Astyanax mexicanus: one gene and its partner. The protein of the gene in region 1 purifies or fractionates together with the protein of each later gene. This does not show direct contact. Links are inferred from orthologs where the notes say so. Each region holds a gene or a part of one and is shown on either strand. Other genes may lie near its edges.

Region 1 (7,645 bases):
ATCAAACTCGTAAGATGTCAAAAGATATGGGACACCATTCTAGTTCCTGTTCAGTGATGTTTGGCGAGTCAGTGTAAGTTATAAATATAAACACACCCATAAGGCATTAGGAGAACATCCAGCATGAACTCCAGCAGCTGGTGGACAGTCTTGGGTTTCTCGGTGAGGACGAACGGCGATGCTTTAGACGGTTCAGTGGGATATTTCATGTGGTACAGAGTGGGAATCAGCAGATGCATCAAACTGAAAATAAAAAAAGATATAACGATTTAAGAGTAGTATATAGATTATAACCCACACAGGTAATAAAGGTAAATGTGAACAAGGACTCACCTGTCCTGCTGGGGTTCAGGTTTGCTCTCCATGGCTGTGAGTAACGTCGGAGCCAGCTCACACTGTTTGGCAACGTCCAGCCGAGGGTAGCCCATCTTTATGTAGATAATGGTGAAATTCTGCAGGAAACACAAACGTGCTGCTGAACACAACTAAAACGTACAGGTCTATCTAAAAAAAAATTATATCATTGAAAAGTTACTTTATTCCAGTAATTTAGAAAAACTCATTTATTATACAGATGTATTACTTGATCTATTTTAAGCATTTTTTCTTTTATTGTTGATTGGTGATTATGGATTACAGCCAATGAAAACTCTAAAACACTGATTTTTGGGTTTTCATTGGCTGTAATTCACACCAGCAGATTACAGATCTCTCCAATCACTGCCAAACGTACCAATGGTCTTATATAAAATGTTTATTTTCTGAAATACTGATTTTTTTTGGGGGGGTTTTCATTGGCTGTAAGCCACAATCAACAACAATAAAAGAAAGAAACGCTTAAAATAGATCACTCTGTGTGTAATACATCTATATAACATATGAGTTTCACATTTTAAATGGAATTACTGACTGAAAGTAACTTTTCAATAATATTCAATTTGCACCTGTAACTGCAGTGCAGAAAATTACATGACATTTACATTAAAAGCATTGTGATATTATTTTAGACCATAGTGTTTACTGGTTAATAGGACATTATAAATCAGAGCTCATCACTAAGGTTCTGTTACGTACTGTGACGAACGACGCTGCCGCCGGGTCCTGGTACTGAACGAGTAGAGTCTCAACCGGAAGCTGGATCTTCGGCCGACTCTTAATCCTCTTATTCACGTGAACCAGCAGCTCCATTACCTGCACAGAGGGGGAACACCACGCTTACTATACTACAGTACTACAGTACACACGGAGCAGATCACCACTTCACTGAGCATGAGAGCATTTCAAGTGCAAGAGAGAAAGCATCCTGAGGGTACTCACTTTTTTGCGGACTCCCTCCTGAGCGCTGGACAGTTTGAGCAGGACGGGCGGCAGGAACTTGGATATGATGTCCTGCAGCTGATCGTCCGTCTCGGCATGACCCAAACGCAGGAACACCCGCTCCAGCTGATCTGAGAGAGAAACGATCATTTACTGTTATTATTTATTATTATATATATTTAATACACTCTTAATTGTTTTATTTCTCATCTGTATAATTAATATATAACACTTCTATCGAAGATCTATTTTTTATTTCGATAAGATATGACTATATTTATTCCTTATATTATTACTATTATATACTCTTTTTTAAGATATATATACATATATGTAGGTACACATGCAAGTTTGTTAATTTATGTATGACTGTAATATGAATATCCCCCTTTAAAGTACACTGAACTGAGACAGAGAGAAAGTAGAACAAACTGAGATAGAGAAAGCAGAGAGCGAAAGCAGAGAGTGAAAGCGTATGGACAAAGAGAAAGTAAAAGATGACATGTAGAATGACAGTAGAAGAGCGAGTGATAGATTGAAAGATACTTTATTGATCCCAGAGGAAATTTAGGAAGACAGTGAGCAAAGGAGAGAGGCAGGTTAACTGAAAAGAGAATGAGAGAGTAAAAGAGGAGTGGAGGGGAACGGGGTGAAAGGGAGAAACGAGAGAGAATAATGTAACATATAATAGAGGCAAGGATAAAGAAGGAGAGTGAGACAGAATGAGGGACACAGACAGACATAGAGACACAGACAGAGACACAGAGAGAAAGACATACAGAGAGATATACAGAAAAAGACATACAGATAGAGAGAGACTGAGTCAGACAGAGAGAGAGAGAGAGACAGACAGACAGACAGAGAGAACTAGAGAAAGAGACAGATAGACAGAGACTGAGACAGACAGAGCCATAGAGAAAGAGACAGACAGACAGATAGATACACAAAGCAATAGAAAGAGACAGAGAGAAATAGAGAAAAAGACAGGCAGGCAGAGAAATAGATATATAATAATATTATTTTATTATTGTTTAGCTACTGTATTTTCATATCTTATACAGACATGTTGTTTAACCTGTGCAACTGATAAACTAGAACTTTACCACACTTTATTAAGTGCTTTATACGGAACCCCAGAAGCACAGCCGGGCCTGCAGCGCTGTGTGTAACCGGGGGAGAGAGCTCACAGCCCGGGGAGCTGACCCGCAGCAGCCCGGGAACCTAGCCGGTTATCTGATTAGCCTGATTAGCTCAAGCGGCTAACTCCCTCATCCAGCAGCCGGGCTGAGGGAGCCACAGCCCCAGTACAGCCAGCAGCGGCTCCCCCACTCCACCCAGCACCTCCACCCCACACTAAACTACACTAAATAACACTAAACAACAGACTACAACCCCGCACCGAGAGACCCGCGGGTTTAATCCCGCTTTAAATGGTTTTAAACTCGGCCTCAGCATGACTCTGCAGCCCGGCTAGCTTACCGGCTAACCGCTACTGACACAGCTAATCGGCTAACTCCTATACAACCTGCGCACATACATCACGCAAACACACTCATTATTATAAATATACACATTTATAAATACGTATATAACCAGCCGTCCGCGAGTAAACACGTCCAATATCACAATAACTTTCTCACACCGCAGTTTATACAGTTTAAACAGGTTAATTAACCCAGAACTTACTGAGCTCGTCCTGCGCAGCCATACTGCAGTCACATCAGTTAGGTTAGCTTAGCTTAGCCCTGTGCTGAGGAACTGCAGCTGCTGCAGGGGGCGTGTCTATACATATACACACACTAAACACACTGTGCACAAGACAATATACACACTATACACAATACACTAAACACACACTGTACACTATACACTCTATACACACACTATACACTTTATGCACTGTACACACACTATACACACTTTATACACTAAATACACTATACACATACTACACACTTTATGCTCTATACACTATAGTTTCTCTGATTTTGCTATTTATAGCTATATGATTGAGTAAATTGAACATTGTTGTTTTATTTTATAAACTACGGACAACATTTCTTCAATTAAACTCCAAACTAAAATTCCAAATAAACGTAATGTCATTTCTTTGCAGAAAATGAGAAATGGCTCCAAAAAAAGTTAATATTACTAAAGTTTTAAAAAGTTTGGAAATCAATATTTGGTGGATTAAACTTGGTTTTTAATCACTGTTTTCATGCATCTTGGCATCATGTTCTCCTCCACCAGTCCACACACTGCTTTTGGATAACTTACTCCTGGTGCAAAAATTCAAGCAGTTCAGTTTGGTTTGATGGCTTGTTATCATCTATCGTCCTCTTGATTATATTCCAGAGTTTTTTTTAATTTAGTAAAATCAAAGAAACTCGTCATTTTTAAGTAGTTTCTTATTTTTTTCCAGAGCTGTGTATATATAAAACTGCATATTTATTTTTAATAATTGTCGCAGACTTTTATTCTGAAAAAATAATGTCAGAGAGCGTGTAGAGAGAAGAAAACTCACTACACAACGTGTTTTAGTTTTTATGGACAGCTAGATGGCGCTCCAGACTGAGTCAAAAATTAATGGGTTCGTATGAAGCTCACCATCCAATCACCTCACAGTGGCAGTAGTGCAATAAAATAAAAAATACAACACAATACAATATTCTGATTTTTTTGTTAAAATTCTCTTCTCTAGAATTAAAGGAATACCCTGTATTAATAATTAGTTGCTATTTATAATTAGAGTTTTTAGCTATTTAGCTCCATTCACCCTCATATATGAGTCATTTACTGCCATAACAGGGGGAACAGAAAGTGTGCAGTCTTCTATAAAACAGCTCTGGCTTTATACATGTTTCGGTAAAATTAAACTGTTTAAGATGTAAAAATAAATAGGAAATTACAACATTATATTATATTATATTTAAGTGACTGAAGACACGTACTGTTAATATTCAGCAATTAATAATATTGCTATCACATTGTCTTCATATTTAAAGCTAACCATCCAGTCGCAGTATTTTATATTATAATATAATATATTATATATATTAAAATATAATAAAACAAACGTGTAGAACATCAATCATGACCAATTCAGCATCTCTGCAGCTCTCTTTTAGTTACTTTATTTCCTGTTTTTATTTTTATTTGAATTACTATTTATTTTTCCTATTTTTATATCTTATTGTTGTATTTGCGTTTGTTATTTTTATTAATATTCTAATTTTTTTTTTGCATTTAAGATCGTCCACTTATATTTTTGTTTTGTTAATGAAGTTCTTTATTTTAGCTTAACCTTATTAAATGAACTATGTAAAGTGATTAAAGTGATTTAAGCTGTAATTTTTTTTTATTTAAAATTATTTAAAATTCAAAATATACACATATGATAAACAGTCAGAATGATTAAACTATTATTATAATATTAAAATATATTGAAATATTAAATTATGAGGAGACATAAAAGGCTAAAGATTATGATCTATGAACTGTTAGAATTGAATAATTCGGATTATTGGACCGGTTTTGTGTGTGAACGTAACCTCGGGTACCGCCTACAACTCCGCCCGTTGCTCCGCCCACTACAGAGACCCCGCCCACATCCAGCGGGAAGAGAGCAGAGGAAAACATCCTGATCCGCTTCAGCCCGAACCGGCCGAATCCCCGAACCGCGGACCCGAACCGGATTAGGGATGAACGCGTGATTGGACCGGAACCGGCGGAAGGTAGGGTTTGCGGTTTAACGCGGTAATGACGTAACGGTGTTTACAACGCGCGCTGCGGGGAACGCGGTTCTGATCAGATCCAGAACCTGTAAATTGGACTGAACCGTATTAATCTGGGCTTTAATCCGGAGTTTTACTGAACTGGACTAACCTTGACCGGTCCAGTAAGCCTGGGTTAGTCTAATGGACTCCATCCCTGCTGAAGAATACCAGCTTCACCAGCTCAGAGTGGTTAAACTGGTGAAGCTGGGTGACCAGTTTAGCTTGTGACCAGGTCAGGGAATGTTTTGGTCTCAGTGAGACCAGCGAGACCAAACCAGTGTTCCCAACATCAACCAGCTATAACTTACACTCTGCTCTACAGCAGCTGGATAACCAGTTATCTCACCAGAATAAGGAGTGTTTAACTCTACATGACCAGTTTAGACCACTACCCTGACCATCTAAAACCAGATTATACCATCTAAAATCATGCTAGACCACCTAAAACCAGTCTAGACCATCTAGAATCAGTATTGACCACCTAAATCAGTTTAGACCACCTTCAAATAAGTCTAGACCGTCTAAAATCTGCTTACACCATCTAAAACCAGACAATCTAATATAATCTTAGACAGTTTAAAATCATCTTATACCATCTAAAACCAATATAGACCACCTAAATCAGTATAGACAACCTAAATCAGTTTAGACCAATGTAAATCAGTTTAGATGGCCATCATAGGCAAAATGAGTGAGTAAATGTGTATTATATGTTCTATTTTGGTACTTTAGGAGACACAGACTGTGTTGTTGTGTAAACTGTGTGAGTGTGTTTCTGTGTTTCTGACACATTTTAATAATCAACACCGTGCAAATTAGCGACTAATCGTTGCAGCTCAAACTTTATATATATATATATTTGTATAACAGACATGTGAATAAGGTGAATAAACATTAAATGAGAAGTCTAGGATTGTACACCTAACTCTGTGCTTGCTCGATTCGATCAATTCTTGAAGAAACACAGTATTGATTTTTAATGATTAGTTTAGATGTGAAGATTGGTGTCAGAAGTGGATTATTTAGTGTTGTGTTTAAGCTCTGCCCACTTGATAGTAGTGTAAACTTTATTTAGTTTAGATTGCATAAATAGGATATAGTAATCAGAAGAAGCACTATTCCCGTAATTTCCTGTCTTTCTTTCGTAGGCGCGTTAGCGCGGTGGAGATGGAGGTGGGCAGCCTGCCAGTGGAGCTGTGGCGCCTCATCCTGGCGTACCTGCCGCTGGCAGACCTGGGCCGCTGCTGCCTGGTGTGCCGGGCGTGGCGGGAGCTGGTGCTGAGTCTGGACAGTACACGGTGGAGGCAGCTCTGCCTGCGTTGCCCCGAGTGCCGCCATCCCAATTGGCCGCGGCGGCCGCAGCTGGCGCCACCCTCCTGGCGGGAGGTTCTGAGGCAGCACGCTCTGGCCAGTCGGACCTGGACCCTGAACGGCTCCGAGCTGCACTCGTCCGCCTGCCTGCACCTGTTCCGCCGCAGGAAGGACCGGAGGGTGTGGCGGGTGGAGACGGAGGCCGGCTGCGGCGCCGTGACGCTGAGGGGGGCGCTGGCGGCCGCCGGGCCATACGACAGGATCCACCTGTACCCGGGGGTGTACGAGGAGCAGGCAGAGGTCACGCTGAAGGTACCGGTGGAGATCGTGGGGAAGGGGAAGCTGGGCGAGGTGGTGCTGATGATCAGCTTCGATCAGCAGTGCCCGACTGCCAGGCTGTGTAACGTGGTGTTCATGCCAGCCTGGTTCTCTCCGGTGGCTTATAAGGTAAGAAAGTTCACAGCTGATCAACATGTGTTTTAAACTGGGAAAGAACATGAAAACAAGTATTAATTTTATTTTTTTCCAAATACATTGCTTTTAGTCGATGCTCTCTACAGGATTACAATGGTTTACAATGCTGCTGATAGGGGCATAGTGTTACTCATGCCAAAAAACTAGTTTGGTGTATTTATAATGAACTACCTGTGCACTTTCGAAGTTCTCAGTACCTTGATTAAATGTTAGGGCCCTTAAAATTCTACCAATGAAGTGTGAAAATACTTTTAGTTTGTTAATGGTGTAAAAATAGCCATTTCTATGCATGGGTAACTCTATGCCCCTATTACTTGCATTGTAAGCCTGTTCAGACCATCAACTAAAAGACTTGTATTTTGGAATGCTTGGGTTGAACAGAGGTGGGCTATTCCACAAAAGTTCATACTGGTTATCATGTTTGACTACAACCCAAGTACATTTCACACTGGAGTTCTCCTTTAAACAGAGAAATCTGAGATTATAGAGCATAGAATTAGCAAAAACATGACAAATAGCTAAATGGCAGCTATGCTAATAGCACGAGGACACTGAGCACATTCTAGTGATTTTTCCCAAAAATTGTATTTTAAAAATAAGCAAATATAATCTAAGAATTAATTTAGGTAACAGGACTGAGTGTTGAGACTGAGCTCCTCAGTCAGAGTTACAATAAGATCAAATATACAGAAAAACTAATGAGCTTGGAAACTTAGTTTTGGTCTTCCCATGATCTTCAGAAGTACCAGCTGATGTCACTTCCTGTT
Region 2 (7,699 bases), on another chromosome or scaffold:
TCATATATGATTCTGAATTTTATGGAAAGGGGTTGACATGGGGATGACTCCATGAAGTAGAAAGTGCTTCACCACTTCAGGGTCTGCTAAATAAAAGCATTTTACAGTCAAAAGGGGGTTTGATTTGCCTTTCTAGCAATGCTACCACCAATTCCCTCTACAAGTTCACTTGGTTCCACTTGACCTTCACCGTTCTTAACAGTCATTTTTTAATTGCATTATAAACTATTAACTATTTAAAAGACTTCATCTGCTTTGTGGGAATCAATTATTTGATTTATTAATCAGAATAAAATTTGCTATAAATAAATCTGAACAAGCCTTAGCTTGTTAAGGTCTATCCAACAAATCAAAAAGGATGTTTCATGTTACATATTATGCCTTTTGCAGATCAGTCTATTCATGTACACTAATTATTCACCCCAACAAATTTGGACATAAGGGGGATCAACTTTGGCAGGGTGCTACTTTTAGAGTTAGTAAAGCAATTGTTTGGCAGTGTTTTGCCCAGGTCATCTGCTCACCTCATGATGGTGAGTGTGGTCATGTCCAGAGCCACTCTGGTTCCAGGCTTTAGCTTGGTTTTGTCCAGCTGTAACAGATGAAGTGTGTTAGGAAAAAAAAAGGTAAGCATGCAGTCGTCATGTAGTTCAAATCGCCCTTCTGTTAAATAGCAACCGCAAGCTTAACTAAACAGGAAGGACTTAAGTGTGAAGAGAAAACCACAAAAAGTTACGAAGATTTTACGTGTGCACTAATTAGACAAATAGAATAGAAAAATAGTATTTTTTTTTGCACAACTTTGTCAGTAGTACTTTAAAGCAATGCATATGTATGTAGGATAATAATCTCAGGACATTATCAGTAAACAAATGCTTGTAATTTTGTCTTTCCAAGGCTATTACAGCATTGTAGCTCAATCAGTAAAAGCTAAGAAATTATGAGAAACTTTGTTTCTCCAGATAAACTCTAGTTTTCAAGTTTAAAATGCTGCAGGAGTCAAATTTATTCATGACCCCAAAACAAAGGACCTGATATAAGCACTGTGGAGGTCTCACCCTGTGCAACAGTTCTTTAATAGTAAATGTTTACTACAATATGGTGCCTCTTACCTGTCTCCGGCAGCCAACCACATATCGAGGTCCATTGGTAGCTTTTACAATAACTGCAAAGACAAATACAATCTGATTAACTTTCTGAAAATGGTAAGACAAAATTAATCAACATACTGAGTAAATTAAAAACACTTACACTTTTCCTCAGTCAGCTGTTTTAATACCTCCCCAACAATCTAAAAAGAACGAAATACACAAATATTTCGATAATATTAGTATACTGTATGCAGTTTTTATTGGATATATCATTAATTTTTAAGGTAGCCAAGTTTAAAAAGATTTGCTCCTCCTATTAGATTAAGAAATACAAGTATTGTACAATTGATAGAAGTTTATATACTGTAAATACTAAGGGTCCTGTAAGTGCTTTGCATACACTTACAATTGTAAAAACAGAACAAAAAATAAGATATACTGCAAACAATTAAAACCATTGAGGTTTGTAAATGCTATGTAATCAATAACAGTCCTCCAAGTGTGGAAATTAAAATTAATGTAGCGATTATAAAGGGAAAATCCAGTGTGAAATAGACTTGGGGTGTAGTAAAAAATAATGAGTACGAACTTTTGTGAACTAGCCCACAGCTATCCGGAATACAGCACTTTAAGCTGATGTTCCAAAAAGGCTTAAAATGCTAGTGATGGGGGCATAACATTACCCATGCAAAGAAATTACAAATTTTACATAATCAACAGTGTTTTTAATCAACTACCTGTGTGCTGGCAAAGCTCTCAGTGCCAGCACCTTCAGAATTATACCAGTGAAGTGTTAAGCTATTCTGAGCTTGATACTTGTGTAAGAACAGAGATTTTAAGCCTGCTGGGAGCATCAGCTGAAAGCACTGTATTTCGGAAAGCTGGAGGTTAACAGAAGTGGCCTATGCTACATGTTTAACTGCAGCACAAATCCACTTCACACTGGAAATCTTTTTAAAGTAATTTACCTAAATAAGAGGCTGTGCATATTGTGAAGTCAAAAACATAGCTACAGTAGGTTACACACCTATAGTGGTTTAAATAATGTGAACATTCTGTAAATAATAAAAAAAAATAAAGATGGAAGTTATGGATAATGTAAATAACTCATTTGTCATCCTACCTGACCAACACTCTGCAGAGCCTTCAGGTCATTCTCAGACTTCTCATACTGCTTGGTGAGCTCCTTCAGCTGCTCCCTCACTAAAACATAAAACAATGTTTACAGTAAAGATATTTCAGTCACACGTTTGTCCTGGAAAAACAATTTACACTAGCTAGTCTAAAGTCTCTATCTGTGTAGTGTTGCGTTAGCCGGTAACAGTTAACTACCTCGGTCGGCTAAGCTAGAAAGCTAAGCTAGTAGCTAACCAAACTAACATTAGAAAGAACACCAAAGAAAACGGGTAGATTGTGTTGAATCCCAATTTGATCTAGGTTTTTATAATAATCAGAGAACAGTATTACACCCTTAAGCCATTTAAAACCGAGTTTATTGGTTGTTTGTTTGTTAGCTAGGTTAGCCAGCTAGCTAGTAAAACTGTTCTAGTTCACTAGCTTTTTTTTCCCCACCCGTATTCCGATAAATCCCATCCCTCGCACCCTGCGATTGGTAAACTGTGTGTGATTTGGACCTACTAGCCAATCATAGCTCAGGACGTAGTTTCTAATTAGCCAATCCCGAAGGCGAAAGGGGCGGGACTTGTCGAAATACGGGTGTTCAGCTAGGCTAACGCTAACGCCGCATACTCCTGCATGACAAAGCGACTTGAGCCTGACTGCCGATTCAAACTAACAGAAGCCGAAATGAGCCAGAAGAGACGATTAAAGATTAAACTCAGGAACAAAAACCTCAGATAGATCACTCACACTCCTTCAGACGCCCATCGATCTCTTTATGCTCCAGTAATTTCTTCCTATAGTCCTGTAGTCCCTTCTCCCTGCTGTCAGCCATGATCCCCCTGCGATACTACTGCTGCTGCTGCTGTACTAGCTTTAGCCAGCTAGCTAGTGATGTGTCGCACGGGAATGAGTCGATTCTTTGAATCGGTTCTTTCAGGTAAACCTTTGAGAGCTGTTCTAATCAATTAATTAAAGGGTTGAAAAAAAGATTCGTATTAATAAGTTTGTGGTGTTAATTCATTAGTTTGCAACACTGTATTCTTCAGTTAACAGACTTCTCAATATTGTTTGTGTTCTCTCACTGCAGTGTCTCTGCTATTGTAAAGCAAAAAAATATATAATAATAATAATAATAATAATAATAATATCATATAATAATAATATCATATATTTATATTTATATATTTATTGTATATACACAGACCAGCTGTGCTGTTGAATTGTTTTACGGAACCTCTGAAAGGATATAAGGATATACAAAGGATTTTACATGGATGGAAAAAAAATATTGCAAAAATGTAAAATAATGCTCTGACTCGAATGTTTTTTTGTAGGAGTTCTTGGGATAAAAAAAACTCAGCTGCTTTACCCGCTCTGGCCTTTAGATGGCACCAACACGCCATTCATTTTCATCTTCTTAACCTTAGTATTAAAGGCAAAGCGCTCGCTGTTAGACCAGAGTGCAATTTAACCATTGTTTTAAAACAGTGCAGAGGAAGAACTGCACTGATAAATCAGAGCTATTCTTTCTTATTTAAGAACAGCTACGGTTTCACAGATCAAGGTGAATGCATTGGGTGTTTATGCCACTCCAAACACCAGATGAATAAATGCTTATCCATGTAGTTCTCCAGAAAGCCGTGTCAGAACATATATATATCTTCCTCTGAAACAGTCTGTTCCTCTTTAAAACATGGTTCATAACTTTGCAGGCACAACATTTAAGCTGGACTTAATATCTATTGAGGTTAGTGGTCAGCTAGGATAAGTGGGTTTTCGAATATGATGATTAGTGTATTGGTTTTATCTAAAGGCCAGAGTTGGTAATTCCCTGATTTCCTCCCTCATAATTGTCTTAAAATATAATTAGTTTGAGGGAAAAAAAACTTAGGTGTGACCCTCCCACCCCCTAAAGATCTTGAGTCACGTCATTGAACAAGTAGGATTTTTTTCGGGAGCTCCATGGGTTTTGCTTTGTCCCTCATGATGAAACACCTAATGACTGCAGCTACCTTACTGAACCTGCTCCTTTAATTCCACATAAACACATTTATTTTATATTCATGTCAACATATATTCATGCGTTATATTTGTTGTTAAAATATTATGTTTAGCCACATACTTTATTTGTGTTTATTTTTTGTTTATAAAAGACAAACTTCCATTTATATAAAAATAGTATAACTTTTTACTTTTATTTTTTAGCAGCCTCTATGGGAGTGCTGCTTATCTCACAACTGATTGGCTCCCCCTTTTTTAAGTGCCTGACGTCAGTTACCGTGTCATTTTTAAACTTTCCTGTTAACACTTTTCAATTCTTTTGCATTGTTCCTGTTTCACACTGTAAGCTCTGTGGAATCCTGCTGTTCTAGTCCACACAGTGGGCTGTTGTTTCTCTCTGTCTGCTGGACAAACAGCTTTGAACACAGTTCTGCTCTTTACAGTTTCTAAACATTTGTGTTTGAGACGAGAACTGTGTGTGTACAGCTCATTGAGTCTGCATTGCCTTTCATGTTGTTGTTACATAAAATGACTAATTAATGAGCCTGTAATTCAGAGGATCCAGAAACATACAGTGGGGAAATGGATGCTTGACTCAATAAAATTAACCTAAACTGATTATAACTAAACTGATCCCAGCCTAACAGAGTAAATGTACATGACTGCAAAATTATAACATTTTAGGCCATAAGAGTTTTCTATAACTCTTGTGTTTTTCTTATATACACATTGTTCTTTCCCCACAAGTTATATTAATATGTATATTAGTCATTTTAAATAGGACACTGTAAATTAGGCAATTGATTATGTCAGGAAACATGAACTGACTTGACTTAAACTGACTCTGAAATGAACCATCTGAAAACAATAGAACTCAATGAGCTGATCTAGTAAACTACTGAAATTGAACTAAACTAAAATAAACTGAACTTTCTATGATTACTTGACTGGATTAGGTTTTACTAACAGAAGTAATTGAACCCCTAAATAAACCAAACTGATTGTTAATATGTAAATGTTTTTTTTTAACTGCCAGCACAGCTATGCATATGTATGTTCCATTGAAGTCACATTTGTATGAATCAGATTCGAATGAAGTCGAGTTTTAGAAAGTGGAAGTGTTTCAGATATTCTACAAGTAACTCATTCCTACTAGAGAAAATAACAATATCCAGATTTACCACCCTGGATTAGCCTTTCCTGTATGATCCAGTCTGACCAGTTCTATTTAATTCTAATGTAAACCCACATGTTATTTCACTACTTATTGGGTTTTAGGCTGTATTTGCTGATGATGATAATAGCATTGTATCCACAGAATGACTAATCCACTGCAGTAATTTATTTAACTGTATTCTGCTGTATCCCCCTGTGTGATGTGTGCCTGGGCAGGTCCAAGCTCTTAGAAAATCACTAAAGGGATTTTTCCCATTTATTACTTACCGCACTCTTCCTCAGCTGTGTCATTTCCTCAGAGAACACCATCTGCCTTCACTTTTTGGTAATGTCTGGAACTGATGTCCTGCTAATGTTTTCCAATTATGGGTCTAGAGTGACAAACACTAAAGAACACTATCTGGACAAGACATGATTTGAAATTAAAATAAAAAAACATACAAATGGAAATTAATATTTTTTTAAACTAAAAAATTAATTAATTCATTCATTCATTGATTAATATGATATGACTTTTGAGGTTCAACAAAAACCTTCAAGAATCTAGTCTTAATATTTCTGGCATTAGTCAAAGCTGTTATTGGCTTAATGCTGTAGTTCTAAAGTCATATTTTTATATAAAAATATTAAATAAAAATATGCACAGAGACTGATTCATTTTCATTGAAAAGTCTTTCAATCAAATACATTTAAATGCTTTGTGTCTTGTTTGTTCTTGAAAAATATAATCAAAACATAAACAATATCAATTATAAAATGCGAAAAAAGGGTTACAATTGTGCCTCTCAAAAACAGACTGTGAACATCATAAAAAACTTTATGCCTCAGCCCTTATCAACACACCGAGCCGCAATATGATCATTCAGAAGCAGGTAGCCTTTTACATATGGTTCTATGTTCATCATCTTCTACAGAGAAACTGTAGAAAGCATGTTGAGGACCTGCATTACCGTCTGGTTTGGGAACTACAACATAACAGATTGCAAGACCCTACAGCGGATAGTGAGGACAGCTGAGAAAATCATCATCAGAGTCTCTCTCCCCTCCATCACTGAGATCTACACCACACGCTGCATCCGCAAAGCCACCAGCGTTGTGGACGATCCAATCACAGCTGGATCTGCACAGCTTCTTCCACCAGGCAGTCAGACACCTCAACTCACAGAGCCCCCACTACCAGACTCTGCAACAGCTTATTTTACTCTACACACACACACTCAGCACACAGTAACTCGCTTTACCCCAGTAACTGCTGTGATCATGTATGTTCTATATATAGCAGTATTTTACATATCTCTACACCTTATCCTCACTGGAATTTTCATTATACTGTATCGGTACTGCACCGTCCTGTCTGTTAAACTGTCTCGTCTGTCTGTACCTTTTTACACATTTAGGGCTAGACAGGGATTAAGACTAGTCCTGACAAAAGAAAATTTAGTCCAGGAACAAGCTTAATACCTGTCTGGGAAACCATGCTTTAATTTAGTTAAAACAGTAGAAGTAATAATTGCGCAAACTTAACCACACTCTGAAGATCCCCTGTACTAGAACAAAATAAAATGTGACAATTCATGTGACCATATGACACCTAGAACAGGGAAGTGAGGAAACCAGAGATGCAGGAATACTAACACTAAAACACATTTACAATCGCAAAACTGTTCTGCAGCTACAACTGACAGACACTTTATCATTATTCTTTATTTAAACCATGATCACAGCATTTTTATCAAAGTTCACTATCGTTATACTTTATAGGTGTTTCTTTAATGAATAAACAAATATTAATAGTTTCAACAATTGCTGATTAAAGATATGTAGCTTTCCAACAAAAAAATGTGTGTGTGTGTGTGTGTGTGTTTAGCTGCAATGCCTTAATGTTTCTAAAGAAGTCTTGCATAATCTTTCATTTTTAGAACAGGTTATCACCAGCAGGAACATTAATAAAAACACCTTCAACACACACATACCTTCATCCACTTATGCATGAGAGACAAAACTCCTCCCAGTCTGTCCTGGATTGCTTTGGATTTTGGTCAATTCCTCATGAATTCCTTTCCTGAACAAAGAATATGCAGAAATCCAGTCATTTTATATCTTAACAATCAGATATCAAGAAGAATTACAATATATATTTTAATGTTTGCATATCTATATTAAATTATTTAATTCACCTTTAAATAGAACATAATACCTATATGTTTTTTTTTTTTGTTACCAAAACATCAATAATGAGGCCTTGTGGGACCTAGAGCAAGTGTGTAGAGATAATTTTGAAGGGGTAAAAACCTGCAGTATTGAGCTGT

The links. Proteins that work in one complex are often made in the same cells at the same time.
Region 2: the proteins of ecpas (region 1) and psmc6 purify together in Homo sapiens (affinity purification with western blotting; 3 studies listed by BioGRID and IntAct, with this or other methods). This does not show direct contact. The link is inferred for Astyanax mexicanus from reciprocal best matches to the Homo sapiens genes ECPAS and PSMC6.

What each region holds. Positions count from the first base shown.
Region 1 is NC_064432.1:23,872,029-23,879,673, forward strand, and holds the start of ecpas (proteasome adapter and scaffold protein ECM29), read right to left. Parts: upstream 3,090-7,645; 5' UTR 3,026-3,089; coding exon 3,004-3,025; intron 1,449-3,003; coding exon 1,318-1,448; intron 1,192-1,317; coding exon 1,075-1,191; intron 453-1,074; coding exon 334-452; intron 244-333; coding exon 97-243; intron 1-96. Other genes in the region: fbxo10 (F-box only protein 10), read left to right, coding at 6,261-6,851. UniProt on the Homo sapiens protein: Adapter/scaffolding protein that binds to the 26S proteasome, motor proteins and other compartment specific proteins. May couple the proteasome to different compartments including endosome, endoplasmic reticulum and centrosome.
Region 2 is NC_064408.1:87,378,948-87,386,646, reverse strand, and holds the start of psmc6 (26S proteasome regulatory subunit 10B), read right to left. Parts: upstream 3,108-7,699; 5' UTR 3,046-3,107; coding exon 2,961-3,045; intron 2,295-2,960; coding exon 2,215-2,294; intron 1,292-2,214; coding exon 1,252-1,291; intron 1,166-1,251; coding exon 1,113-1,165; intron 593-1,112; coding exon 525-592; intron 1-524. UniProt on the Homo sapiens protein: Component of the 26S proteasome, a multiprotein complex involved in the ATP-dependent degradation of ubiquitinated proteins.